Pelodiscus sinensis: one gene and its partners. The protein of the gene in region 2 interacts with the protein of the main gene of each other region in a biochemical or structural test. Links are inferred from orthologs where the notes say so. Each region holds a gene or a part of one and is shown on either strand. Other genes may lie near its edges. The genes, in order: TRAIP, PCNA, UBE2B and POLK.

What was found.
Region 1: the proteins of PCNA (region 2) and TRAIP form a complex in vitro, tested with the Homo sapiens proteins (2 studies listed by BioGRID, with this or other methods). The link is inferred for Pelodiscus sinensis from reciprocal best matches to the Homo sapiens genes PCNA and TRAIP.
Region 3: of the proteins of PCNA (region 2) and UBE2B, one has a biochemical effect on the other in vitro, tested with the Homo sapiens proteins (2 studies listed by BioGRID). The link is inferred for Pelodiscus sinensis from reciprocal best matches to the Homo sapiens genes PCNA and UBE2B.
Region 4: the proteins of PCNA (region 2) and POLK form a complex in vitro, tested with the Homo sapiens proteins (2 studies listed by BioGRID, with this or other methods). The link is inferred for Pelodiscus sinensis from reciprocal best matches to the Homo sapiens genes PCNA and POLK.

Annotation. Positions count from the first base shown.
Region 1 is NC_134721.1:45,809,010-45,816,221, reverse strand, and holds the start of TRAIP (E3 ubiquitin-protein ligase TRAIP), read right to left. Parts: upstream 3,021-7,212; 5' UTR 2,912-3,020; intron 1,957-2,911; 5' UTR 1,920-1,956; coding exon 1,822-1,919; intron 1-1,821. UniProt on the Homo sapiens protein: E3 ubiquitin ligase required to protect genome stability in response to replication stress.
Region 2 is NC_134738.1:703,196-710,082, forward strand, and holds the start of PCNA (proliferating cell nuclear antigen), read right to left. Parts: upstream 3,001-6,887; 5' UTR 2,905-3,000; coding exon 2,684-2,904; intron 2,199-2,683; coding exon 2,101-2,198; intron 1-2,100. UniProt on the Homo sapiens protein: Auxiliary protein of DNA polymerase delta and epsilon, is involved in the control of eukaryotic DNA replication by increasing the polymerase's processibility during elongation of the leading strand.
Region 3 is NC_134727.1:28,262,484-28,270,292, forward strand, and holds the start of UBE2B (ubiquitin-conjugating enzyme E2 B), read left to right. Parts: upstream 1-4,789; 5' UTR 4,790-4,949; coding exon 4,950-4,993; intron 4,994-7,809. UniProt on the Homo sapiens protein: E2 ubiquitin-conjugating enzyme that accepts ubiquitin from the ubiquitin-activating enzyme E1 and transfers it to a E3 ubiquitin-protein ligase. In vitro catalyzes 'Lys-11'-, as well as 'Lys-48'- and 'Lys-63'-linked polyubiquitination.
Region 4 is NC_134716.1:84,589,841-84,597,415, reverse strand, and holds the start of POLK (DNA polymerase kappa), read right to left. Parts: upstream 3,007-7,575; 5' UTR 2,681-3,006; intron 1-2,680. Other genes in the region: CERT1 (ceramide transfer protein), read left to right, coding at 3,670-3,765, 7,470-7,575. UniProt on the Homo sapiens protein: DNA polymerase specifically involved in DNA repair. Plays an important role in translesion synthesis, where the normal high-fidelity DNA polymerases cannot proceed and DNA synthesis stalls.

The DNA of each region.
Region 1 (7,212 bases), on a different chromosome or scaffold from region 2:
CCCCCATTTAATCAGTTAATGTTTAACTGGTTAAACAAATGGAATTTTACATCCCTAATGTGGAGAAGAACATCCAGTCTCACACTAGCAATTGGAGCTTCAGAGCCCCTTAAGAACGGTGTGTTTATTGCAGCACAATGATTAGCTTAGCCAGCCAAATCCAAAGGGCACTGTTCCCCTTCCTCTAAAAACATTACTGAGCAAAGCAAGCTCCAGATGTTCATGAGTCAGTGACCTTCCCAGGATGCTCATTTTTGTGTAGAGGAGTGAACCCTAGTACACATGCATCCCCTGACGCTACCACACATTCAGCTGATCCCACAGGAAGAGAACATGTCGCCAGCCCAAATACACAGGAACTCAGCAAAAGCCTGGAATTGGTTGGGATTGTTTTATCGTTAGCTTGTTGCTGCTCTCGCTAGAGCACATGGACAAGCAGTTGGTGGAGGAGCAACACATCTCTGATGGAGAGGACAAGGAAACCAAGACCACAGATGGGAAAGGGACAAGCATGAAAGGATAGGGCCCAGCACCACACCTGAGTTCAAGAGCATTGCAAGTTGCAGCCCCATTTCACTCTAGCACATTCCCCCAACAGAGGGGAAAAAATCAACATGCATGGCCTCAGAGGAAGCCAAAGCACCACGCCCTTAGCCAGAAGGAAGGTCACTGTGACAAGCAGGTTTAGGGCAGAGGGAAAATTGTGGAAGACAACAGGAACAAGGTTGAAGGAAGAAGTGAGACTTGAACAGTAGAGGTGTTGCTAGGAAAGGAAAGAAGCCTCTTTCCTTTTAGCAACTATTCAGTTACCAGAGTTGCGTGTCCAGCCATCAAAAGAAATTCAGAAGCAAAACTTCCAAAGGGGAACCATAGTGGCCAACAAGCTACACTAGGCTTTGGTACAGACTCTTCTGTGACTAGTTCTTCAGCACTAAAACAGAGAGATGAGATATCTCCTCACCTCATGGTGGTATTGTGGCGGGGACTTTAATATTCAAAAAGCACTTGAGGAGCCTTCAAAGATACCATGTTGCAAAACGGACAAATTTATTTAGTGAACGTTCGCAAACAAGTATCAAGCACAAGTTTAACAACAGTGGAATGGATAGGGAATCTGGAGACAGATCTTACTACAACATGCCTAGCTCCAATCAGCACTAGCCAGTCAAGAACTGTGCAGGGTTTCCCACATGGCTCAGTTTTGGGCTGGTTGAGTAGAACTGCACCTCCATTCCCTACTGCAGTCCTCAGCTCCATTCCAGCTCTACCAAGGCACTGTAACGTGACCTACAATTCCAGTGCTGACAATGAAGCACAAGGCCAACCAACACAACCTCCTGTTATGTTAGTCCTGCATCTCTCCAGAACTGGAGGAGCCCAACTTTCAGAACCGTAAACTATAACAACGGCAAATACACAGTGCAGGTTTTAAACGTCTGTTTGCATCCCTACCCATCTCAACTATGACATTTGCAAAGAGTGGGCCTGGAGAAGAGGAGGCTGAAGAGTTCAGAGAAGGACATGCAAGATGAGAAGAGACGGTGCCCCAGTAAGCGCTGAACCCATCACAGAACATGAGCCCAGGGATGCCCATGCGGAGCCGGCCTGACGCCCCTGTGGGACACAGGGGCTCAGGGCTACTCATCGCTGCCGGGGGAAGGTGTGCCCGCGGGGGACGGGGATACTCACCACTGCTGGGGGAAGGTGTGCCCACGGGGGACGGGGATACTCACCACTGCTGGGGGAAGGTGTGCCCACGGGGGACGGGGATACTCACCACTGCTGGGGGAAGGTGTGCCCGCGGGGGACGGGGATACTCACCACTGCTGGTGGAAGGTGTGCCCGCAGTGGATGGCGGCAACGTCCCGCTGGTTGTCGAAAAAGTCAGAGCAGATGGTGCAGTGGGCGCGGATGGGCATCCTAGGCAATGAGCCCGCAGGGAGCACCCACTTCAGCCTGGGCAGATGGACACGCCCGTCTCAGCAGCGCCCCTGCGGGCATTTCAACCAGCCCAGTCCGAGTCCCCCCCAAGTCCCCACGGCTGGGCCAAGCACCTCCCCATGTCCGAGCCCCCCCCCCGCGGCCAAGCGCCTCCCCATGTCCGAGCCCCCCCCCGCGGCCAAGCGCCTCCCCAGGTCCGAACCCCCCCCCCCCCGCAGCCAAGCACCTCCCCAGGTCCGCGCCCCCCCCCCCGCAGCCAAGCACCTCCCCAGGTCCGAACCCCCCCCCCCCGCAGCCAAGCACCTCCCCAGGTCCGAGCCCCCCCCAGTCCGAGCCCTCTCCCCCCCCACGGCCAAGCGCCTCCCCAGGTCTGAGCCCCCCCCAGTCCGAGCCCCCTCCCCCCCCACGGCCAAGCGCCTCCCCAGGTCCGAGCCCCCCCCCGTGGCCAAGCGCCCTAACTGGGCCGAGCCCCCCCACTGCCAGGCCAAGCGCCGCCCCGGGTCTGAGGCCCCCCCCATGGCTGGACCAAGCACTCCCCCCAGGTCCGAGCCCCCCCCCCCACGGCCAAGCGCCTCCCCAGGTCCGAACCCCCCCCCCCCCCGCAGCCAAGCACCTCCCCAGGTCCGAACCCCCCCCCCGCGGCCAAGCGCCTCCCCAGGTCCGAGCCCCCCCCCGCGGCCAAGCGCTGCTCCGGGTCCGAGCCCCCCCCCCCCGCAGCCAAGCGCCTCCCCAGGTCCGAGCCCCCCCCTCGCGGCCAAGCGCCCTAACTGGGCAGAGCCCCCCCACTGCCAGGCCAAGCGCCCCCCCCCGGGCCGAACCCCCCCAGGTCCGAGCCCCCTCGCTGCCGGGCCAAGCGCCCCCCCCAGGTCCGAGCCCCCCCGCTGCCGGGCCCCCTTGGTCCGAGCCTCCCACGACCCCCCTCAGCTCCCGGTCCAGGGGAGGGGGTTGGGCGCGGCTCGCCTCGCGTTACCTTTTCAAATTTGGTTCCTTCCGAGGCCACTTCCGGCATGGACCGGAAATGACGCAGCAGAGACAGGCGCGGGATTCGAGCCTGCCCGCTACTCGGCCGAAGGGGGCGGGGCCGGTCCCCGCGTTCCTCCCCTGGCCTCGCCGGGGCCCTAGCGCCGACCGAGCACCCGTGGGCTCAAGGGGCGGGGCCTGCGGACCTAAGGGGCGGGGTTTGTGTGATGAAGCCTGGCTTGTCCCAGAGTCTCACCTTCCAGTAAACGGGTGTCCAGCCCAACAGCTGGTGGGGAACCTGGCAAACGCCCTGCGCCCAGGAGGTGCAGGCCGCTCCAGCCTTGTGGGAGTGTTAACTCTGAAACTGAATGATGGTGATTTGATTATCAACTCCAGCTGTCCCCCTGCCAGTTGTTACAGCAGGAACAGCGAATCGTGCTCATGACTCCCCTGACTTTGTGGGCTTCTGAAGTCCCAGCTGACCCTTACTCCCCCTCCAAAATCTCCTGCTTCCAACACACTGCCCAGCTCTCTTCCATGTGCGTGACATCCCTGTAAGTGCGCAGGCCCTGACTTGTAGCCTAATAGATAATGCACCAGTCCTGCAGTAGGATATGCTAGCATAGAATCCTAGAATACTAGGACTGGAAGGGACCTCGAGAAGTCATCGAGTCCAGTCCCCTGCCCTCACGGCAGGACCAAATACTGTCTAGACCATCCCTGATAGACATTTATCTAAGCTACTCTTAAACATCTCCAAAGATGGAGATTCCACAACCTCCCTGGGCAATAGGCACATGGGGCTGCAGGAGTGGAGCTTACTTCAGGATAGGGGGCTAACTAGAGGCCTCAATACATCAGGTGCGGCACGTGACCCTAAGCAGACTAGGTGGTCGCCTAGGGCACCACCAGCCCGGGGCACCCCGTGATTACGTCACGACCACTGACAGCCTGCTACAGCCGGCCTCAAACCGCTCCTGCAATACAGTGACATAAGACGACTTGTATGAAGAGAACAAAGCAGAGAGAACAGAAAGTGCAGCACCAAGGAGGCGGAGGCTGCTCATCCAGGCCCAGCAGAGCAGCAAGCAGAGCCAGACTGTCTCCAGTGCAACGCAGAGCATGTTAGCAAACCGGGCTGGGGCAAAGAGCTCTGGGGGGAGAGGAGAGAAGGCGCTTGCAGGACTGGGTGCATTGGTAGGGGGAGCAGTCAGAACTGCATGCTAAATGCCACGTATCCTATGCGGATGGAGCCCGCTAAGGAGGTGTCTGGCCCTGGTTAGCCTCAGGAGCTGAACTGAACCAATATGGGCTGCTGCACATTCCTGCCACTTCTCTGGCATCCCCAGCAGTTGCTGGGCATTTTCATCTCAGTTCATCAGGTTTATAGCATCTCATTTGGGAAGAAAAGCTCCTAATGGTGCAGAGCTGGCTGCCTGGGTCAGTTCTAGAGGCTCTTACATCACTGTCATCAGTGGTGTCATCGTTAAGCTTCAGCGTTAACAGTTTAATTATTTAACAGTTTAGCAAGAACAGCCAGCTACTCCTGGGCCAGCTAGCTCACGGAACTTGAGCATGGCACATGCATATGCAGGAATCACTTCTGCTAATATGGGAATGCGGCCACCTCTGGGGTGGGACACAGCTGTTGCTGAACAGCACACAGCAAATCTATAAAGCCTTGGGACAGGCAGAAGGGAATACCATGTCCCATTGAACATCAGGGGTGGGGGGGGCAGTTGGGGAAGTAGAATGCAGCTCCCTAATTGGAGGTTGGCTGGCACAGCCCCATTTATACCTGTCCTCCTGTGAACAGCCCTGTGGGTCTCTAGCGAGCCCCGACGTTTCTAACAGAGGTCACTTCAATATCTAAGAGCACCACAGTCGGCCTTGGGAGGGACGCCGTGGCAAGCGCCTGCCCTGTGCAGTCAGGGTGACGTGCCATACCAGTGTGCTCCCAAAGACAGAGCCTGGCAGGGTCGCTCGCTCTGCCTATGGGACTCACCTGTCCAACGGTGGGATCGCGAGTCTTCCAACCCCCTCCAAGCGCCTCCCCGCAGGCAGCTCCTGGTGCAGCAGCGCTCTCAGTCCTCGGCCATCGTCTCCTCGAGCGTCAGAGACCCGGCAAACTGCCCTGCTGCCCACAGACCTTCCGACCAAGCAGTGGGTCCAGTGCAAAGGACTCTGGGAAACACCTGAAGAGGGGACGCTTGGGAGCGGCTGCTCATTGGCTCTCACTGATCTGCCGGTTTGATCCCATTTCCTTGGCCATCACAAAGGCTGGGGGCCCCATTGCACGAGACCAGTGACAGCCCGGAGCTGCCCCTGGGCATGCCGGATTGTTAGCGGGGTCCCCTCTCCAGGGCCACATCCTGCTCCAGGGCGGAGGGACGAGTGGCTGGGGAGTCACTCCCATGCCAGAGAGGCTCCAGCTGACTGCCAGCTGTTTCCCAGCTGCTTGGGGAGCAGAGCGTGCTGCTGCCATACAAGTTTAGGGCCGTGGCGAGAGGACAGCAGAGAACAGCTGGGCTGGACTGGGGGAGGAGGGTCTCCGAGACTCAGCGATTAACCTCCTCTTAGCTCCCCACCTCTGCCTACCCCCCTTCCCTCCAGCCCCCGAGTGTCGGCGTCCCACCCCGTCCCAGCCGGGAGGCACAGTGCAGCGGAGTTGCTCCTGGCACCAGCCAGGTGGGCGAAGTGGCCCCCGGACGGTCGGCGCTCGGCCGCACGGCAGAAAGAGACAGAGCAGGCGTGGCTGGTGCTCTCAGTTTGTCCTCAGAAGGTCTTTATTTGCCAGTGGTACAGTGCAGCGATCACACAGCAGCTTCTGGGCGGTCGTGGTGGAAAGAAACGTTTGAGACAGGACCCAACCCTACAGACATGCAGCTGCGAGTCAAGGAGAGGGGGCAGGAAAGCCGGAGTGGTGGGCCCACAGCCCGGAGAGCCACAGGCTGGGAGAGCCCGGGGGAGCCCCATTGGTGGCAGGTCAACCCCACAGGCCCTTCGCAGTGGGACTTGGGTTTCCTTCCTGTTTAGTTTGGGGCCAGGGGAAGAGGGCGCAGGGAGCTGATGGGCCAGGCCTGTCACTGGGGGGAGTGGAGAGGCCCAGCTCTGGTCAAGGGCTCTCGTCTGGACTCATCTCCCCTCCCCTCAGAACCAACAGCCACAAGCACCTTGCACCCAGGACCAGGCAGGCCTGCCTACATCTAGGCCCAGGGAGGGTTGGAGGGGCACCCGGGGAGGCAGTGGGGCCCAAGGAGGATGGTTGGGCGGCAGGGAGGATGGTTGGGGGGCCCAGGGAGGATGGTTGGGGGGCCCAGGCTGCTAAAATACAAGCTGGCCAAGGCGCTATTTTCCCTCAGACCTGCCCTGGGTCTGCCAAGCATCAGCACGGCGGGGAGGGGGAACCCGGCAGGCAGCTGCCTCCATAGCCAGCTGCAGCCAGAAAAGCCCCTCGCCTGGGCCGGCCAAGGTGCAGAGCCTCTGTGCCCGGGCGGGGCCGCAGGACACGGGGTGCTGTGACCCCGCACACACAGCAAGCGCTTACACGGACACCCCCCCACGCCAAGGCCCGGCCCCGAGCTGTGCTGGGCACGGCCCACAGGTGCCCTGCTGCTCCCGCCGACAGGCCGGGTGCCGCCACAGGCGGGCTGCACACCCCACACTGGGCCCAGGAGGAGAGGCCTAGAACAGTGCTTTGGCCGTGAGCCCCCCGCCCTGCTCCGATAGCCCGAGCCAGGGGCCCACGTGCCTGCAGGTCGGCGCACCCAACTCCCTGGCCACATGGGGCTGGTGCAGCCATGGGACAGCTGGAGCCACCCTTCCCGAGGGGGCTGCCGGCCCTGGGATGTTCCCAGCAGCCTGTGTTCCTACCCGGGCGGCTCCAGCAGGGCCGTGACGCTCCCCCTACATGAGCCACCAGGCTGGGCCGCAGGGAGCCTAGGAGGGTGCTGCCGTGCGCCAGCGGGGTCTGGCCCTGCCCTCAGGCCCTCAAGCAGCAGAGCAGCGCATGGACCCCCCTGCACGTGGACCCTCCCGCACGTGGACCCTGCTCGGACAAGCCTGCCCCCCAGCACGGACTGGGGCCTACGGGGTAGGGCGAGGCTGCGCTGCCTACTCTATGGGTGCCCAGGCAGGTCTGCAGCCTCCAGGGCCAGGCGCCACCGGCACCACGGAGAGGAGACACACCCAGGCCCCTCGCTCCGCAGCAGCCCCAGCTCCAAGCAAGCTCAACGGGCACCTGTGGGTGCGGCCACGTGGGCAGTTGGATCTGGGATTGACGGCAGCCTAGGCCTTGTGACCCACGAGCCG
Region 2 (6,887 bases):
TGGGAGCTGCAGGCGTGGAGTCTGCAAGAAAGGCCAGCATGTGGGGACCCCCTGCTCTGCCCCTCAGGCTGCATGTACATGCCAGTCACTTCCAGGAGCAGCAATTTCCATAGGAATAATTAATCGAGTTGTGACCGGTTAGGGGACTCACTACTCAAAGAATTAAATACAAGCATAAGAGAAATGAAAATTATGAATTGCACAGACCAGTCAAAAAACACACTTTGCAAGCTGTAAAAGTAGTAACAACCACTCTCCACATGTGCTGGGTCAGGATATGGGAGTGAGGGATACAGCATGTTTGTGAGCATGTCAGACACTCAGCATGTGAACACTGACAGATTTGCATTGCTAAACTCTCCATTCCCTTCTGTGCGAAGATAGGGTACAGAAGTGGGGGGGGGGGAGGGACACCCTGACATCAGTGCCCCCTTCTCCCTCCAATGCCCTGCACAGCACGCAGGAGGCTCCAAAGGGGCAGGCAGCTCCAAGACAGAGGGCAGGAGCAGTGTGACAGTGGGTGGAGGGGCAACTAAAGTGCCAGTACTTGATAGCTTCCTGGCCAAACCAGTCAGGATTACCTGTTAGAGGCTCCAAGATCTATCCATAGATCCTGATCTACTGATTGAAACCAAATTTCTTTGATAAAATGCTTTGAAGAACAGACCCATCTAGAGATAGTTGTAATTAAGATACATTATAGCTCAAAGATCTCATCATGGAATAATGATTATACATTTTAATATTATAGTATGAGAATATATAAATGTAATGGTTAAGAAAAGTTTTGTAAATGAGTTCCAATAGTTCCTGAATTAGGGACCCAATCTAAGGGTGTTCCAGAGACGTATGCATAGATTTTAGGTTATCTTCCTATCTACCCAATAGGACTCAGTGATCAGTCTAGAACAGGCCTGGGCAAAATACAACCCGCCAAGCCACCAGATCTGGCCCATGGAGGTGGTGGGGAGCCCCAAGCAGGCTCTCTTGCTTGCTGCTCAGAAAACACAGCTGTGGGGTGTTTCCTCTTTGCATCTGGAGGGAAGATTCAGAGGCTGCTCCCACCCCCAGCACAATCTTATTTGCCAGTTTCTAGAGAGAAACTGGCCAGCGGGAGTTGCTTGTTTGAACAACAGGCAGCTACCTTCCTGCTTGCTCGCTCAGGCACATGGCTGGCTTGTTTGGCTGCTAACTGGTAAGTCTCCTGGCCAGAACCTATCCCACATACATCCATACCCCCTTCTCCCAGGCTATGTCTACACTATAGTCTTTTCGGAAAAACAGCAGTTTAAAAAAAACCAACTTCACTTGCACCCACACACCAATTGTGTTTTCAAAAGAGATCAGGAGGGGTTTTTCCAACATTGGTAAAGCCTCTTTCCACAAGAAGCCTTTTTTCTGAACGAGCTCTCCAGAAAAAGGCGTGTACAGACAGGGAAGAGGCAGTTTTCAAAAGAAGAGGAAAAAGCACAGGTGCCCTGGTGGCCACTCTGTCTATAAGTCACAGCTTAAATGCAAGATAGCATCCAGTGCAAGATAACATACAATCAATGAGGTCATATCCCCAAATCCTATACCCCAGTTCCTTCCCTAGGTCATAACTCCCTCCCAGACTGCATTCTCCCTTCTGCACCCAACCTCCATTCCAGACCTCACACCTCCTCCATGGAAGAGTGCAGCCCTCAACCACTTTCCAAAATCTTAGAATGAATCCTGTATAAAAAATGATGGGCCATCCCTGGTCTAGAAGATACCATCCCAGATGCTTAGTTTTGCAATTCTCAAACTGTGGCTTTATCTCCAGAGATAGCATACTTGTTCACAGCAAGAATGTTTTTAAATAAATAGTATATAGAAATGAAACAAAACAGACCGCAGCCCTATTGTCCCTCTGCAAGTCTGTGAGCACAGAGTCAATCCCTTATCGCTCTCTAAAAGAGGCAAGTTTCAAAAAGTTCAATGAACAGAAAATTATTGGGAGCAGAATAGATCTGGACAAGGAGAGAAACATATGAAGGGAAATTGTCAGGCATTCCCATCTCAAGTAAATTACAGTAGCATTAATATGTTAATAAAAAAGAATGGGTTTGAGATATTTACTTGGTGCCTCAAATACCAGAGCCAGCGTATCAGCATTGTCCTCTGCTCTGAGCGTGATTATGTCTTCATTGCCAGCACACTTCAGTATTTTGGACATACTAAGAAAGAAAGAATTTGAAGGGATTTATTTGCAATACAGGGAGCTGCGTCCCAGCCACCCATTTCACACAGCGGCCCCCGGTGCAGGATTTCCACACGAGCCTGGGAAGGGAGATGAGCGCGAGTGACAGGGGAGCAGAGGAACAGCTCCAGGTGCTGCTGAACCTGCCCGCCCCCAGGCCACGACGCGGCGGTGGGGGGGGGGGAGGAGGAGAGCGCGCACGCTGACAAGCCGTAACTGGGCGCCATGGGGCGGACCCCACTAGCCACAGGCCCGTAGCCTCAGCGCCCCTCCCCCACGTGCAACTTTCCCGCCAGCGAGGCCGGGCGCAGCGCGCCAGCGCCGAAGTGACGTCACCTCCGCCGACAAGCCCGCGCGCGCGACAGAAAAGGCGCCAGACTGGCGGCCGACAGGAGGGGCTCGAGCCACCCCGGGCGCGGGGATGCCGCGCGCGCCCCGCCTCAGGGGCCGCAGCCCCGCTACCTGGCCAGGTTGACGCCCATGGCGATGTTGCGGTCGCAGCGGTAGGTGTCGAAGCCCTCGGAGCGCAGCGTGAGCTGCACCAGCGAGACGTGCGACGAGTCCATGCTCTGCAGGCTGATGCCGCCCGAGCCCAGGTCCCAGCAGGCCTCGGTGATCAGGTCCTTGAGCGCCTCCAGCACCCGCTTCAGCACCGAGCCCTGCACCAGCCGCGCCTCGAACATCCTGTCGCCGCGCTCAGCCGCTCCACAGAGACCCCCCGAGTGCCTCCACTGCGCGCCAACGGCCTCTTATAGCGCCGCTGCCCTCGCCTCCCGACCCCGCCCACTCGGCGCTCTCCACCAATCATACTCGAGTCACCGCCGGAAGCCCCGCCCTCAGGGCGCCTCGAACACCAATCAACGCCTCCATGATAACCGGTAGTCCTGCCCCTGAAGAAGGGCTCTCGGCTAATCCTAGAACAGCGGAAATCCCGCCCCATGCCTGTTGCTGGCCAATCATGACGTCGCCCTACGTCTCTTCATGAGCTAACACAAACATAGGAGCGTCGGCCCGTCGCTTACTGTATGCGATCAATCAACGCAGGGCTCTCACTGTCCGTACGCACGTGCCAATCACAGCGCTCCGCTCTTCTGTCCGCACAGCTTCGCCTTCCTCTGCTGGGGACCCAGCGTTCTGTGGGCAGTTGAGAAGGGATGGTGGGGGTGTCCAGGGCGCTGATAAGTGGAATGTGAGGACTCCCAAGATTCCCAGACAGAACACAGAGGACCCACGGGTTCTGTGGAAGTGGCTAGATGGAATGTTGGGTCCACCAATGTTCCACTGGCTTAGCTGGATGGAATGTGTGTGGAGAAGGTGGCTCTTCGTGCTGGGACGTTCAGGGAGTTGTAGGCCTTAGCCTGCTGGGTGGAACATCAGGGCTCTAGGTCCGTTGCAAATATGTATGTTTGCTGCTGAATGGAGCAGTGGGCTCCTGTGGGTTCTGGGATCCTGGTACATTCCTCGGGAGGTATAGGCTGTTACGAGGAAGCTGGGGCCCCAGGTTTATGTGGTGGCAATGAGTGGAATTTGCGGAGGCAGACTGGAATGTTGGGGTTCTGGAGTTCCATGAGCATCATGGGAAGGGCCAATGCGGAATACTGGAATTCTGAAGGTTCTATGGCAATGTGATGTTCCGATGGGCTGAATGACGATTTCCTGAAGGCTGCCAGCTGGGTTGTTGTATAGGTCAAGCTGTTGAGTTTGCCAACTTGCAACAATTTTGGTGGGTTATGTGGTGATGTAACTGATTTGTAGCCTCTGAGGATCTTTCCGGTATCCACAATGCTATACTCTGTAGCAGAGGTGGGCAAAAGCTGCTTTCCCTGCCCCCAGGCCAATTAGGACCTGGGAGTGAGGGAGCATGCAAAGCCTTCTCCACTCTGCCTCCACCCTGTGACCAGCGTGGTTCAAGATGGATGTTGAAAAACTGGAAAGGATTCAGAGAAGACCCATGAGATGAAAGGATTGGAAATCATGCCTTGGAATGATTCAAAGAGCTCAATCTGTTTAACTTAATAAAGAGGTGACTTGATTATAATCAACAAGTCCTTACATGGGGAACAAATAGTTGATAAGGGGGCCCTTCAATCTAGCAGAGAAATGTCAATGGTTAGAAGTTGAAGTGACAAAAATTAAGACAGGAAATGAGGCATATATTTTTAACAGTGAGAGTAATTAACTACTGAAACCATTTACCAAGGGTTATGGTGCATGTTAGCGGGGAGGGGGGGGAGCGGAGGGTGTGTTACAGAAGACCCCCTTGGGGTTGCTTCTCAGTGTGCTAATAAAGCTACTGACACTGGCCGCCTTGCTCTCTGGGGTTTCTCACAACCCTGTCTCGCTGGGCTAGATCTCCTGGTCTCCAGCTAAGACACAGAGTTGAGATCAGCTTCCCTGCCAAAAGAGCAATGCAGACATTGAATGACTTCAGCTCTGAGGAGAATGCAATTTCAGACACAGCATCCAGGAAACCAACCAATCCCCAAAGGGTATCAGAACTGCAAATAAATCATTCAGGCAAGCCCCTTCTAACAATGAAAGAAGAATGTACACACTGATTGTTCCCAGGTAACAATTATTTACACTAGGTTTGATAGTAAAAAAAGTAATTTTATTAAGTATAAACAGTAGGAATTATGTGGTTGCAAGTGAAAACAGAACAAGTAAATTACAAATTTACAAAAAGCACAGCTAATTCTAACACACTAAAGTTTATTGTATACTTACCCTAAAACTTGTTATTTCTGCTAAACTTCCAAGTCAGGGAAGTTCTCTTTCTTCTGTGATGTCTGGCCAGCTAGCCAAAGACAAAGAGCCTAAAAACTTTTGCATCTTAAATAGACTTCCTTTTGAGCAGGAATTCTATTTCTATATTCCCCCCTCCAATGGAAAATTACCTGGTCCCAGTTGGTGTGGTTACATGTCTTTCTAGGACCAACCACTGCTGAGAGACTTAAAGGATGAAGGAGGCTGTTTACAGGTGATCACACAGACATTAAGGTTTCATTTGCACATTTAAAACCATTAACCTACCCCATTCCCTACCACATATCGCTAACTTTACATACAAGATATACGGATCCAGCAGATTGTGACATTAAAATTGACAGGACATGAAGTATTTTGTCCAAAGCATCTTCGAGTTATGCATATTTGTATCCATAAGACAGTTTCATAAAGTATTGTGGGACAGGGGAAACCATCACAGTGCATACTCCAGTCACGGACAATTTTTAAATCAAGGTTGGATGTTTTCTTGAAAGAGCTGCCCTAGTAATTATTGTGGGGAAGTTCTCTGGCCTGTGCTATATGAGAGGCCAGAGTAGATGATCACACTGGTCCATTGTGGCCTGGGAATCTGTCCTCAGGACTAACCTGAGGAAGTTCAGCGCCTGAGACAACCTCCCATCACAGTTCCAGGCATGGAATCTGGGGACCCCTCCCACTACTGAAGGCCCTGCCCTGTCCTACCCTCACTCCACTCCTCCCCCAATACCCATACCGGGTCCACTCATCGGCCCCTTCACCCAAGCAACATGGCCTGGGGGATTACAGGGGCCTAGTGTGGTGGCAGCAGGATTTCTTTCTCCCCTACTGACCACGTGGCAGCAGGAGCCAGAGCAGCCTGGCAGCCTGCTGTGCTCTGCCGCCCTCGCCTGCTGCGTCCCACTTCTCTGTGGTGGCAGGAAACAGCATGCCGTGGGTCCAGAGCGCTCTGCTTCCCGCTGCCACTGAGAAACTGCACAGCAGGCTGGGAAAGGGTGGCACGGTGGGGTGTGGTGGAGCAGGCTTCCAGGCTGTTCTGCTTTCCACTGGCCACATGGTATCTGTGGCTGACTCCTGATGCCGCCCTGTACCAGGCCCCTTACATCCATAGGACAATTGGGGTGGCTGCTGTGGGGCCCCCAAAAACACTGTGCTCATACCCCAAACCGTGGCTTGCATGTCTGCACAGGATCCAACCCTGTCTGGGCAGGTTAGGAAAGGTTATGATGGACGTAGAGCTTCAGACCTCTTGTCTGTTTTGCATAGCACCAGGGATTCTATGGCACTTTGTGTGGAGACAAGGAGAAATCTTTAGCTGGGAAGGATGTCCATTTCCTGGGGAGGGGCCAGGAGGCAGCACATTGTAGCAGAGGTGCTGGAATAATTTGTACACTAGGGTTACGTCTATACTACAGGCTTTTTGTGCAAGAATTGTTTTGCACAAGAGTTCTTGTGCAAAAGGTCTTGTGCAAGCAAGTGTCCACACTGCCATGTGCTTTTGCACAAGAGCATCCATTTTAGCCATAGGGCTTTCTTGCGCAAGAAATCCCTGTTGCCTGTCCACACTGCCTTTTTGTGGAAGTGCTCTTGCGCAAGAGGGCTTATTCCTCCTGGGGATTGGAATAACTCTTGTGCAAGAAGCCCTGTTTTCCAACGCTTTACTGTAAATTTACTTGCGCAAGAACGCGCATGCAGTATAGACGCTCTGCAAGTTATTGCACAAGAACAGCTGTTCTTGCACAAAAAGCCTGCAGTGTACAAATAGCCTAGGACCGGGGTCATCAACCGGTCGATCGCGATCGACTGGTTGATCACAGGGCCTCGACCAGTTGATCGTGAGGTGTTCGTCCCCCCTCCATTTCCCCCCTACTCCCGAGAAGCCCCACTACCTACCTCCAGC
Region 3 (7,809 bases), on a different chromosome or scaffold from region 2:
CCCACTGGCACCCCGGCCCTCTGCCCTTCCTGTTCCCTCTTCCCTGCCCCCTCTTCCCATTCCCCAGCCACAGAACTCTGTCCCCACTCCTGTCCCCAGCCACAGAACTGTCCCCACTCCTCTGTCCTCAGCCACAGTACTCTGTCCCCAGTGGCACCCTGTTCCCAGCTGCAGAAACCTGTCCCCACTGGCACTCTGTCGCCTGCTGCAGAACCCTGTCCTCTCCCCTCCCAGAACCCTGTTCCCTCTCCCCTGCCCCCAGCCGCAGAACTCTGTACCCACTGGCACCCTGTCCCCTGCCAAAGCACCCACTAGCACCCTTCCCCAGTACTATGTCCCCTGCTCCCACCAACACAGTTGGGGCTACATTAGTGAAGCTTGGGGGAGGGGGTTGGAGAAGGGTTTTTTTGTACCTCACTTGTGTGGCCCCAACTGACTTTTCTGTGGGTCAGTGACCCCTGACTTAAAACAGGTTCCCTGCCCTTCTCAGAAATAAAGACAATGCAGAAACTTGTTGTGTTTGACATAGAATTTTATTTAAAAATGAAGCCTGGCCAACAAACCCCCAATTGGGGCCAAGCCCCCATCTGGCTACAGCATCATAACACTCCTGCACTCCCCTTTCCCCTAGGTCCTACATATGAGCTTATCATACACTGGAACCCCCTGCCCTGAGCCCCTCACATACTCCAACCCAAATTCCTGAACCCTAACATCCAGAAGTCTGTGGCTTGCTTAGTATCCTAACACTACATCTGACCCCAACACTGCCCAGCCTGGAGCCCCCTCCCTGAGCCAGCGTCCCCTTATTCACCTCCTCCTGCATCCAGATTTCCTCCCAGAGCTTGCACCTCTCACCCCTTCCCACACCCAAATCCCTCATTCCCACCCCAGAGCCTACACATCCTGTCTCAACCCAGTGAGGGTACGGCTAGACTGCAGGAGTTTTTCATGATTCTGGAGATATCCCAGAAAAGCTCTTCTGCATCCAGGGATGTTTGTTCTTCCGCTTTTTAGTGGAAGAGCAAACATGATATTTCGGTCACCCCTATATTCCTCTTTCCACGAGGAATAAGGGGGCTTCCAAAAGAAGGGGGTTTTCTGACATTTGGTCCAGTCTAGACAGGCCAAATGTTGGAAAAACCTCTTCCTACAGAAGAATTGGGGAAAAAAGCAGCAGTATAAGGATTGGGGATAGCAAGTGATGGAGAGGAGGAGAATAGAGAGGGTATGGCTTCAAGGAAGGGGCGGGGTGGTAGATCTTGGCTTGTTCTGTCATTTAAAAAGTGATCTTGGGTGTAAAAAGGTTGGAGACCACTGCTATAGGGAATCCTCAAAATTAGTCTGAGGCAGGCTTCCCTAATGTAGACTTGCTACCTCCATTTAGAGCCCCAGGATGGACTGAGGAGTAATTACTTTGAATGGCCCTGCAGAAGAGCTATTTTGAAATAGCAGCAGTGGACTATCCACACTACTGCTATTTCAAAATAGCTATTTTGGAATAGGCGTTATTCCTCATGCAATAAGGTTTACAGAAGTCGGAATAAGCTGTCCGTTATTTCAGATTTATTTCGAAATAATGGAATTGCTGTGTAGACGCTTGCATTTTTATTTTGGAATAACGGTCTTTATTCTGAAATAACGCTGCTGTGTAGATGCACCCTGAGACGCTGCTCCTGTCCTCCCCAGAGACATTGCAGAAGCCTGCATTGTAGACGTAGCCTTACAGTTTTATCACACCTCTCTTGATTTTTGGAGCTTCAGGGGGTAGCCAAGTTAGTCTGTTACAAAAAAAACAGCAAGCAAATGGTCTGGTAGCACTTTACCGTCTACATGTTTTGTTAGTCTATAAAGTGCTGCCAGACCATTTGCTTCTTGATTTTTTGAATTTTTCTTTAAGCCCTATTTTGGAGTCATATCATTACACGAGAAACTCAGCTATAATTTCTTTTTTAAGTTTCTAGTCCTCATGTTTGCAGGCGAAGTTTTGAAATGTAATTCAAGTATACGTCAAAGGCTTAAACACTAGATAAACAAACAAACAAACAAAACCCTACAATTAGAAGTGGTCAGAAAATTGAGATTTTTTTCTGTTGAAAATTTTGACTTTGTATCAAAAACCTAAAAACTGAAATGTTCTCATATGACAACTAGAAAATTTCCATTGGAAACAGACACTGAATTTTTGTTTTGTCAAAAAAAGAAACAAAAATACTCCCCAAAACAAATTTATATCAAAACTGTATTACCCAAAATATATTATTTTTAAATGTAATTATTTATAAGGCTATTGTGAGTTTTTGGAGCCTTGGGTCACAATATTTGAATGCTTCAGGGGATAGCTGAGTTAGTCTGTACAGGATAAACTTAAAAAACAACAGATTGTCTGGTAGCACTTTATAGACTAACAAAACATGTAGATGGTATCATGAGCTTTTGTGGGCACAGCCCACTTCTTCAGATGACCAGAGTTTATTTGAATGCTTAGGATTGGCACTATTGTAAAGAAAGGGGGAGAAACAATTAAATTGCACATCCCATTACCCCACAGCCTTTGGGCACCACAGAAACCCCTTCATGATGCAGCGGGGGAAGAGGCTTAATGGTAATTACGGTATGGCAATTTAAGACTTGAGCATGGTCTACATTTAAAATTTATATTGATGTAGCCACATTGGCAGTAGTGGGTACCTGCAGCTCGAGGGCTGCATACAGCCCATTGGGGCTCTGTGTGGACCTACAAGACATTTTGTTTACTGTTGCCCACACACAGGCTTGCCAGATTCTGCTGGGTTTTGTCCATCTTGTTTTTTAAGCTTAAAGCAAGGGCACATGAAGTGATGTATGTGCTAAAGTGATGTGTGAGAGCCCTGCACTCTCTTTGCAGCTCATCAAATGGCTGCTACAGTTCATTTGGCACACCCTGGAAATTCTAGGTACGCAAGTGCAGTTACCAAAACTACCCACTCCAAAGAGACTGTCTTTGTTACAACAATCCTGTGGCCCATTGAGATGAAGGAGGGCCACTCATGCAGCCCACTTATTAGCCTCGGTTGCCCATCCCTAACTTAGGACTTGAAAAATCCATACTTCTGAGATGCCAACCTCACCCTTAGTGTGGACACATCTTTGTCATTGAAAGAATGCTTCCATTGCCCTAACATATGTCACTCAGGGAGTTACTGTTTCTATACAGATGAGAAAACCCCTCTATCAGTGTAGGTTGAGTTTTTAGTACTGGGTTATGTTGTGGCAATATAGCTATACCAGTATAGTCCCTGTAGCATAAGCGCAGCTTCAACAATATGAGCTTCTTGGGGAACTGTGCTGGAAGCAGCATTAACTATGTCCTGAGTATAATATCCCCGACTAGGTCTGGTTTACACATGAAAGTAATTTTGGAATAAGTGTGAATTTAAAGCAGAGTAGCTATTTTCAAAAAGCTCCATGTTTGGATTTTTTTATTTTGGAATGAAATTGTCTTTCTCTGGTTTAATTCAATCCAGGTACAAAGCGTGAAAGGCAGGGAAGGGCCGGGGGAAGCTGCTGCCCACTTTCCCCACCCTACTGATCTATGAAGTTTTCATGCCCAGCCTCACACCTGGCTGTTGAGAGTAGGATAGGTGGGAATTTGTCAAGACTGCTCATGTGCCTAGGATGGTGATCACCAACCAGTCGATCGTGATCGACCAGTTGATCGCAGCGCCCCTAGGAGTCGATGGGCAACTGCCTCTCTTTGATCCAGCCCTGGCTGGAGCAAAAAGGGGAAGCCGCCCAGGTGGCTGCCCCTCTTTGTTAACTTGCTGGCGAGGGGGATGGGAAGAGGCATGCATCCCCAGCTCTTGTCTCCTGCTCCAGGAGGGGGCAGAGCTGGGCCTGCTCTGCAGAGCGAGGGCTGGGCGGGTGGCACACGTGGCATGGTAGAGAATGGGCTATGCCACGCTGTTCCCTGCGGGCTGTGTGCGGGGTTGAGGAGCCCCTTCCCCAGTGCCCTGCTGCATGGAGCCAGCCTTGGGCTCTGCCTGCCCCAACCCCAGAACCACTACCAGCAGGCAAAGGGCTGATCCGGGCAGGGAAGAGACTCTGCCCCAGTGCTACTCCCAGGAGGCTGCAAATCCCATCACAGGGCGGGGTTGCACAGAGGGACATGGGGTGATGGGGGGGGGGAGGGGAGAGTGAGGCTGGAACAGAGGCAAGATGACACTTTTACTTTGCAGAAGTTGCATTTTCCTTTACTCCCCACTTCTTTGCCTCCCTCCTCAATTATCTATTTGGCTGCATGCTCATCCTCTCGCCTTTTCTGTGATACTCCCCCAGCCCCCTTCGGCTCCCAAACTCCCTCTCGTACCCCCACCCCACCCCCTCTCCTGCCGCCAAACTCTCTTCCAGACCCTGCCAATGAATTAAGCTGTAAACCCCCTCTGTGATGGAAGCCTCTTCAAGCCAGGTGATGGGCAACACCCCCAGCTCCAGCGGCACCTACATGGGTGTGAGCTATTTCTTCATGTTCCTAAAGCCCGGGGAACCTGTCAGGCAGGGTCTGAGTGGCGCCTTCAGAGCGTTCTCCTGCCTCCAGGGCTGCTCCCTGCAAGCCGGGCAGGTCCGGGGACGCGATTCGCGGACAGCGCAGCAGCTCCCCCCACCCCGTGCGGGGCCGCTGCGCGTTCTGCGGCTCGACCGTCTGCACCTTGACGCCCCCCAGCGGCACGTTGGAGGGGTGGAAGCTCCCTCCCCCTCCCGGTAGTGGTGCGTTCCTCTCTCTCCGCCCTCCCCTCGGCAGAGCGAGTGGTACGGTCGCGGAGGAGCCTGTGACTTTCCCTCCCCCCGGCGGAGGGAGACGCCATTGCAGGGTTGTTTGTGTAGCCGCTGCGGGCTGGGGAGGGAGACCGCGGCGCGGTGAGCGGTGCCGAGGCTCCGTGGGGGCAGGGACTCTTTTCCCAGAGAGGATCATGTCCACTCCGGCCAGGCGGAGGCTCATGAGGGATTTCAAGAGGTGAGCGTCTCGCCTGGGAGGCTGCGCGCTGGGATCGCCCCCCCCCTCCCCGAGGGGGCACCAAGCTCCCCCCCGTGGGTCTCGCTGGCGCCCCGCTATGCCTTGCGCGGAGCAGGGCCCAGGCAGGAGCCGCCCTGCGGGGCTGAGCTCCAAGTTCCTGGAGCTGCTTTGTGTGGGGAGAGGGGTAGGAGCCCCTTCGGTCTGCATCCCAAGGGAGGCAGTGCGGGGGGGCCACCTCTCAGCAATTAAAATAGCGGGGAGACAGGGGGTCGGTGCACCCCCCATATTACCAGGAGCCCCCCCTGTGTGTTCCTGGAGGGCTCGGCGGGTAGCCCCCCTGTCGCTGAGGAGTGGGAGCAGCTCCTCTCCCTGGCGTGGGGATGGAGATGCAAGGGGGTTCCCTGTTTTGTTTCCGCCCGCTGCTGAGCTGAGGTTGGCCCCGTGAGCTGGGAGAGTAACGCCTAAGGAGCTGTCCCAAACCCACTTGAGGCTGGCACCCAGGAAGTGCCCCGTCCAAGCCTGCGATCCGTGCAGGGTGTAGGCAGATCCATCATGAATCCTGGGTATCTGCTTCAAGACCAGCCTGACCTGGTCTGGAGGCCAGTAGTAACACTTGGCTCTTGAACAGCACTCTCCTCAAAGGACAGGTCCATATGGCTGCCTTGTGTTTTACATGGGGAAATGGAGTCTGCAGAGGTGAAGCAAGTTGCCCAAAGTCAATAACAGAGCTAGAAATAGAATCCAATATGCTGACTTCCAGCTTAGAGCCCTATTCACTGGACTACATTGAATCCCTTAATTCCCCCCACTACATCAAGTATGTACTTCAGTCTAGGGCTTCTCCAGGTACAGGATTTAATCTGCTTTATCTTTGTCCTGTTTCTCCTCCCCTATGCTGGACTGTTCTTTGAGAGAGTTAATAACACAGAAACAAACTTCACTTTCCTTGAGAGCAGACACGATCTAGAATGCAAAAACCTCACTTTATGCTGGTAAAGGAAAATGCTGGTTTGTCAAAGGTCTGTTACTGGAGTTGGGACTACAGGATAAGCAGCCTTTTACCCCTGAATTCCTTGGGACGGAGATGCTGAAAGGACTTGGGTCTATATGGTAAATGCTGTTCCTACACATGCACATCAATAAGAAAGTTAACATCTCCTATCCCACTAAAGATATTGGTTAAACCTCTGCTTCTGTAGAAAGGAGTCTGTTTTTGTTTTTATTTAGAGTTACTTCCTCTAAAGTTCTCTGCTCATTCCTGTCTTCAGGATGCCTTATGTCTTTAAAGCAATAGCCACTCTCCTTTTTCTGTCAACATGAGAAATGTCCAAAGAGCCTTTCATTATATTGCATGTGGTCTGTTAGACAGCCTGTATCATTCCTAAAAGCCACTGTTTATAGACCAAGCGTTTATTTATAACATTTAAAGTAGTACATTATAATTATATCAGAGATTCCATGATGCAGTAACTCTCTAATATAAGGGAATTAGCTCTATGATGTCAAACTTTGCTTCAGGCTGGAACTTGACAGAGGAGAGAATATTGAGCCTGTAAATATTTATGCAGGTTTCAAATGCCCATCTGTACTCTCATTATTCAAATATCTTGGTTTTTTTAAAAAACATCTCTGGAGATCCGGCATCAACATTCTCTCTTGTTGGTTTTAGTAACTTTTTTGTGGGCCTGGAAGTGAAATGCTTAGTGAGTAAAGCTAAATTTTTCAGAGATGAGTTCCCTCATGGGTGGGACAGTCCTCAGTTTTTGGGAACCTGCCTTGAGATAGTTTTTTGGTGGTCTTCTACCCTTCCTGCCGCTATCCTCCCACTGCTGAAGAGCCACAACTCCAGCTGAAGTGAATAGAAGTGTCAGATTCTTGGCCCTTCTGAATGAAAGCTTGTCTCAGTCTGGGCACCTAATTATGCACACTGAACTGATAAACACTTCTGGACTCTTGTACATACTATTCTGGTTGATAACTTCTGTCTCACATTGTTTAAAATGTTGTGTAAACAAGGACCTTTTGCTATATATTAGCAAAAACATAGTTATATTCTGTTTAAAAATTATGAGTAGCCCTGTGGCACCTTAGAGACTAACAAAGTATAAATAGTATCATGAGCTTTCATAGGCAAAACCCACTTCATCAGCTCCTCTGTTCATCACCTGATGAAGTATGTTTTTCCCACGAAAGCTCATGATACTATATATATTTTTGTTAGTCTCTGAGGTGCCACAGGACTACTCATCATTTTTAAACAGAATATAACTATGTTTTTGCTAATATACAAATGGAAATAGAAGGTGCCACAGGACCACTTGTTGTTTTTAAAGTTACAGACAAACATGGCTACCCCTCTGGCGCTGTCTACACAGCTTCCCTCTTCCACAAAAGCCTGGGCAAATGAAGCGCAGATTAGCATACTGTCTCACTTCATTTGCATAATTAATTAGGAGCTGTTTTTGCACAAAAAGCACCGTCTACACAGCGCCTTTTTGTGCAAAAACCCCCCTCTTGTGCAAGAGCCGTTTTTCCTCATTTTTTCAGGAAGAACGGCTCTTGCTCAAGAGAGGGGTTTTGCGCAAAAAGGCGCTGTGTAGATGGCGCCTTTTTGCACAAAAACCTTTTGTGCAAAAAGGGCTCCTAATTATGCAAATGAAGCATGGCTATGTGCTTCATTTGCAGTATGCTAATATGTGCTTCAATATAGGCTTTTGCAGAAGAGGGAAGCTGTGTAGACATAGCCTCTGAGACTGTTTAAAAATGGTACATGCTGAGCTAGAGAGACTCTTTTAGCAACTGTTCCAGTTTGTCAT
Region 4 (7,575 bases), on a different chromosome or scaffold from region 2:
TATAGAAAAACTTAACAACAAATCACCGGGACTGGATGGCATTTATCCAAGGGTTTTAAAAGAACTCAAATGGGAAACTGTACAACTATTATCTGTGGTTTGTAACCAATCCTTTAAATCGGCTTCTGTATCTAATTACTGGAAGATAACTAACGTGACACCAATATTTAAAAAGGGCTTTAGAGGCGATCCTGGCAATTACAGACTGGTAAGTCTAACTTCATTACCAGGTAAATTAGTCGAAACAATAGTAACGAATAAAATTGTCAGGCATGTAGAAGAAAATAAGTTGTTGGACAAAAGTCAACATGGTTTCTGTAAAGGGAAATCATGTCTTACTAATCTATTAGAGTTCTTTGAAGAAGTTAACAAACATGCAGACAAGGGGGATCCAACAGATATAGTATACTTAGGTTTTCAGAAAGCCTTTGACAAGGTCCCTCACCAAAGGCTCTTGTGTAAATTACATTGTCATGGGATAAGAGGGAAGGTCCTTTCATGGATTGAGAACTGGTTAAAAGACAGGAAACAAAGGGTAGGAATAAATGGTAAATTTTCAGAATGGAGAGGGGTAACTAGTGGCATCCCCCATAGGTCAGTCCTGGGACCTATCGTGTTCAACTTATTCATAAATTATCTGAAAAAAGGGGTAATCAGCGAGGTGGTAAAGTTGCTGATGATACTAAACTGTTTAAGATAGTCAAGACAGAAGCAGACTGTGAAGAACTTCAAAAAGATCTCACCAAACTGAGTGATTGAGCAACAAAATGGCAAATGAAATTTAATGTGGATAAGTGTAAAGTAATGCACGTTGGAAAAAAAACCCCCAAATATACGTACAGTATGATGGGGGCTAATTTGGCTACGATAAATCAGGAAAGAGATCTTGGAGTTACCGTGGATAGTTCTCTGAAAACTTCCACACAGTGTGCAGCGGCGGTCAAAAAGGCAAATAGGATGTAAGGAATTATTAAGAAAGGGATAGAAAATAAGACACAGAATATCTTACTACCCCTGTATAAAATTATGGTACGCCCACATCTTGAATACTGTGTACAGATGTGGTCTCCTCACTTCAAAAAAGATATTTTGGCCTTGGAAAGGGTTCAGAAAAGGGCAATTAAAATGATTAGGGGTTTGGAACGGGTCCCATATGAAGAGAGGCTAAAGCGACTTTTCAGTTTAGAAAAGAGGAGACTGAGGGGGGAATAGGATAGAGGTATATAAAATCATGAGTGGTGTGGAGAAGGCGAATAAAGAAAAATTATTTATTAGTTTCCATAATAGAAGAACTAGAGGACACCAAATGAAATTAATGGGTAGCAGGTTTAAAACTAATACAAGAAAGTTCTTCTTCACACAGCGCATAGTCAACCTGTGGAACTCCTTGCCAGAGGAGGCTGTGAAGGCTAGGACTATAACAGAGTTTAAAGAGAAGCTAGATAATTTTCTGGAGGTTAGGTTCATAAAAGGCTATTAGCCAGGGGATAGAAATGGTGTCCCTGGCTTCTGTTTGTCAGAGGCTAAAGATGGATGGCAGGAGACAAATGGCTTGATCATTGTCTTCGGTCCACCCCCTCTGGGGCACCTGGCGCTGGCCACTGTCAGCAGACAGACTTCTGGGCTAGATGTACCTTTGGTCTGACCCAGTACAGCCATTCTTATGTAATGCCACTGACCAGCATTAAAACCACCCCTCTCCAGTTACCCAGCTCCGAAGGCAGTGCAGAAGTAAAGGTGGAAATAACATGACCCTCCTAAAATAGCCTTATGAGTCCTCTGCAACATCATTTTAGGTCAGGACCCACAATTTGAGAAACACTGGTCTCCCGGGTAAAAGCATGGCTGTGAGTTTGGTAGGACCCTATTTATAATTCCTGCAACCAGCGGTCACAGAACCATACTGCACTATGCAGGCCTTCTGACTCAGGTCTGCTGCTTGTCCTGCATACGTACTACAACATAAGATTGTCACAAAGATTCGGACAAGATTTGACTTGAACCAGAGCCACAGCACAACTTGAACTCTAACACTTCCCCCTCCCTGACCCAGGATCCTAGGACTTGGATTATGAATGCTTGCTAATTTGAATCTAATTGTTATGTGTGTGGATGGAAGAGGGGCAGCATTTGGCCTGTCCACACTAGACAGCTTACAGCAGCACATCTGTACTGATGCAGCTGCACTGCTATAAAATCTCCTATGCAGCCACATAAGAAAGAGCTTTTGTGGGCATAACTGGACCACTCTCAAAAAGGGATGGGAGCTATATCAGCAGGAGAGCATCTATCAGCCTTGCCCGGGTGGGGGTCACACAGCCCATCCAACTGAGATGAGTTTTAAGAACAAAAGTATTAGTGTAGACATAGTGCAGTGCAGACATGCCCTGACATGCCTGCAGGACATCTATCAGTCACACACAGTGCAGAAAGGATTTCTTTCACAGGCCAGAGGTTAACACACTTCCTTTGAGAAGAGCAAGGAACAAAGCAGTGAATGCCCTTTCGCCTCGCACCTACTGCCCGAAATCTCCTGCTTTGGGTCTGGGGCGCAGGGTGGTCTGGCTACCGATGGTTTCCCTCCCAGTGCCAGCAGCTCCTCAGTGACGCGAGTGAGCCCAGCCCCCCGGTGCCGACCCCACGGACGGAGGACGCTGCGGCTCGGCGCGGCCTGGGTTACCTGCGGACGGGCAAACGCATCACTTCGAGCTACCCCTGCTCTGTCGCAACGCAACACACCACCGCGGCTCTCAACTTCCCTGCCCGCTCCCGCCGCTTCCTGTCGTCTCATTGCCCCAGCCACGCCTCCACCTTGTTTAAAGGGGCCGTTTGTAACGGGAGAAAACACCGAACGTCTTCCCCAAGGGCCACACTGGGGCAGGGGGAACAGCCGCACGCGGGGGGTGGGCGATCGCCTCCTTGCCCAAGCTGGGAGGAGGAACCGTTCCCGCTCGCAACAGAGGAGCTAGAGGGAAGAGCAGGTGACAGGTCAGACATAGACCAGCCTCCCCACTACTGCCTTCACCGAAGCGGAACCGCGGCTAAGCTTTTGGGCGGGCACTGGGGAAAAGATGGGGGGAGGGGTGAGAGGCCGTAATTAGGAGACACACATACAACCCACCTAAAATGGCCGTTCTTAACTTTTGAATCAAGGGTGGCGGCCCTGCCCCCTCTCACTAGACTACAATTCCCAAGTTCCACCCCCCCCCCATTCCCAGCCTCCCAGGATGCATCACACCATCACGCTTCCTGCCCCTCCCTCCAGACTACAATTCCCAGCAAGCAATGCGCTCCCCCTGCCAAGTGGGGTTGGGGGGAGTTGGTAAATAGTGGCAGAGAGCGAGTTCCTAGAGTAAGATGGCGGCGGCAGCGGTAGCTGCGGTGGCGCTTTGAGTGGCAGTGGACACTACCCCTCGCGCTGTGGCTCTTACTGTGGGTCGGGGCAGCGGCGCTGCACTGAGGGCAGAGGCGAGGAGTCGAGTATCGGAGCTGCGGCCCCGGCAGCTGCAAAGAGGCCAGGCGCGGGTAGCGCCACCCCGGGAGCCGAGAGGTGTCGCCCAGGTAGAGCCCCCCCGGCCGTCGCTCCCGTCCCCAAGGCAGGAGGAGGCTGCTGTGGGCGGGGGCCGCTCGCTGTTTCCCTGCTCGACGGTGGCTGCAGGCGGCGCCTCCATGTCGGACAACCAGAGCTGGAATTCCTCCGGCTCCGAGGAGGATCCCGAAACCGAGTCCGGGCCGCCTGTTGAGCTCTGCGGGGTCCTCAGCAAGGTGAGCAACAGCAGCCCCTTTCCTCGGGGGGACTCGGAGTCTGCTCTTTCCCCGGGCGGCTGGGGCCGCGCGCACCCCCGCGCTACCCTGCAGAATTGGGCTAGGCTCCCGTCTCGCTGGCAGTTACCCGTGTGGAGGGGCAGCCCCGCACCCCTTCGCCCACCCCGCGGAGACACGGGGCTGGCTTGGCTGGGGCAGCGGCCACCTGACCTAAGAAAGCCTGAAAATGAGTCATTCCCCGGCAAACACCCACTCCCAGACCGCGGGCGGGGCTGTAACGGCCCACACATCCCGCGAGGGCGTCCCCTCCGGCCCTCCCTGCTGCCAGCGCAGCCCCCGCAGTTCTCCATCTCTCTCCTGCCGCTGTCAGTGCTCTCCTTCCCGTAAGCTAGGCGAGGCGGGGAGCCCCGCGGACAGGGTGTGCAGACTGTCTTAAAATCCATCCTGCAGACCGATGGGGGGTGCTCTCATAGTCCCCTTTCCCTTCTTAAATGGGTAGGCGTACTCTGCATGAATGAGTGTTCCCTTGTCTCCTCTTTCTTGATCCCCCAACTTGGCACCCCATCCCCTGACTCACCCTCCGCAAGCGTACATTTTGGGACCGCAGGCTTGTAACTAGACTGATGTAGAAGGTGAGCAGGGGCAGTGAGGGCATCTCTATTCATCAGGTTTTTGTCTGGAACCTGGCAATCCTATCCTAGCTAGTGTGCGTTACAAGCTAGTTTGGAAGGATAGCTGTGATGACTAGGATTGGACTCCAGCACTGAATCTGTATAGGGAGGAGAGAGAGTTCTTGGGGGTCACGAAGGAAACACTTTTTTTTCTTGCGAAGACTTTTTGCAGGAAATAGCAGCATGTGATGTGCCCTTACAAATCACTTCTAATCAATAGGAATACGTCAAAGAGGAGTGGCATGGCCTTTAATCCCGGCATTAAAACAGTGTAATAAAATACCCTTGCAGCAAGAGAACGGAGTAAAGAGGTGAAAAAGGAAAAATTGTATGGATTATTGCTTTTAAAAATTGTGGTGCTTATGCTTATCTGTGTAGGAATTAAATCTATTTTTACTCTTTTATTGCTGTGAATTTGATAAAAATGAATTGTGAGATATCGGGTTAGGGAATTAAGTTTTAAATAATGTTTTAAAGACTAAATGTTTTAATTGAACAATTTCAGTAGAAGAAAGTAGCTTCTCAATATATACTTAATGCCAAGAGAATTTAAATATTTTTGCATATCTCTCTATATTCAGAGGGGTTAAGGCAGAACTGAGTGGATGGGTCATGGGATATGGAGATCATGAGCAGCTCTGGATCATGAGTAGGGAAAACATGTGGGCTATATCCAGCCCTTCAGGGCTTTTAATCTGGCTTTCAGGATTATCAGTCTGGCAGTGCCGTGGGACTAAGGCAGGCTACTCCTGCCTTGGCCTGTGTCACTCCACAGAAGTGTTCGGCATATCCCTGCAACCCCATGGGCTTGGGGGTTCTACATGCTGTCCTCATCAGCAGGCACCATTCCCCCAGCTCCCATTGGCCAGGAATGGGGAACCATGGTTTATAGCTGTTGTGGAGACAGTGACAGCAGGCAAGGGTAGCTCATGGGGCCACCCGTTTTCCGCCCCCTCCCCCCAGGAGCCAACTACCTTAGGAGCAGAATGGGGCCAGGACAGGGTGGGAGCCTGCTTTGGCACTGCTGACCAGGAACTGCCCAAAGTAAGTGGTGCTTGGCTGGAGCCTGCACCTTTAGCCCTCTATTTCAGTCCCTGTCCTGAACTCCTGTCCTGAGCCCCCATCCCTGACCTAGCCTTACATTTATGGCCCACCATACAATTTCCCTAGAGCCTCAAAGTTTGCCCAGTACTTGATACTGAAAAAGTTATGTTACTATGTTTTTGTGAGGGAGTGAGACTCTGTTTATGAACTCTCCAATTAAAAAATATTTCTAAGATCATAGATGAGAGAAGTGCTGAGGAGAGGAAGCAGGCCTTGGCACTGATCTTCAGGATTTCATGTTTGATGCTGTGGAGGGGACAGGAAATATGTTTTTACATGATTCGGCTCAGAAATGTTGGGTTTATTACCCAAGATTTCTGCAACGTTATCTCCCTATTAGATGATTCAGATCATTAAGTAGAAAATCTGGTATTTGTTTCTAGTAGTATGCCATCAGTTTTAATATTGGCAAATGAAATGAATAAGAATTATATTCTAGGTCCTAATGATAAATTATCACGTATGTTAAATCCTAAAGAATTTCCCATACAAATGTGTCATCTTATAAATGCACTGTGTGCAATCTTTAGAGATATGTATGTAGTGCTTATACTCATATGATAGCTGTTGCCTTTACTGTTAGCGTCCAAGTGAAAACACATAATGAGAAATAATCTGAATTGTGAAATATGATAAAACCTGCTGCAGTAAATCTGCTGGAAGGTATTATGATTGGCTGACTTCAAATTCTTTGCTAGTTAATTCATGTCTTCAGTAATACCTGAGTCAAATGATTTTTTTATCTGAAATGATTGCAGCATAATATGTTTAGGTTAAGTTAAACATAAAAATACTTTTTAAAAATAAAACAATATTCCAAACCATTGATAAAGGGGTTACATTTCCTTGCATTCCCTGCAGTAGCTTAGGTAGTCAGGATTTCATCATTTTTGCGGGAGGGAAAAGCTTGATTGTACTGCTTGCCTGTAGAGGGAGTTCATGAGGAAGTTAATGTAAAATAGTTGCCATGTGAAATTAAAGTGCAATAGCTATTCTACTCTAACCCCTTTTGTGGTCACTCAGATTCTACACTAAGTGCCTGATCTAAGTACAAGCACTTAAGGTGAAAGAAGAGTGTCCACGTAAGGCATTAGTGTAGAATAGCTATTTCTGGGTCTTTTCCCTCATTACTCCAGAAAGCCCTCATTACTCCACAAGTAAGGGGAAAAGAAGCTAAGTATTTAGCTCTTCAATTTTTAAATGTATTTGCCTAAATTTGCCCATGCAGAGTCCTACTGATTAGAAATGTTGACCACATGAAAACACTTTTTACAATGTGGGGGCTGTTATCACCGAAATTTACTGGGGAGGGAAATGCATGTAGTCGACAGCATTAACCTATAAGCTTTTGCTTATCTATAAATTGGTTAATCGACTGCAGTATTACATCCCTACCTTGTATAAATGAATCTTTATATGATCTGGAGAATGAGACTTCTTAAAAGCAATATTTTTATCTTATGTAAACAGATATGAAAACTCTCTATTCTACTTTAATGGAAAGTTCTGCAACATCAAAACCAAAAGATTAGCTTCTAAGCCTAAAGAAGACAAAACCGAACTGTTTTACCAGTTATGTTTCTAATTTTTCACTGAACTATTCTGCGTTCATGAATTTAATTGTAATGAACATTTTGTTTTAGTTGGTTGTGATACCACTTCTACAATCAAGACATAATTTCAGTCTTATTGTTAATGAAGTAAAATTGGCTTAGGTTACCGTGCAACAAAAGTGGTTGAAAAGAATTGATGATTTCTGATCAAAGAGATAGCAAATTTGTCATTTGGGGAGAATTTTGAAAAACTGCATTTTTAATTTTTAAATTATCAGGAAGTTTAACAAGCAAACAAGGTGTCATCTCTTATCAGTATTTTTACTATTTGCAGACTTTGCTAGCTCTTTGAGATATATTTCTTTTTTCTTTATAGTGGACTAACTACATTCATGGATGGCAGGACCGATGGGTAGTCTTGAAAAACAACACTCTAAGTTACTACAAATCTGAAGATGAAACTGAGTATGGCTGCAGGGGCT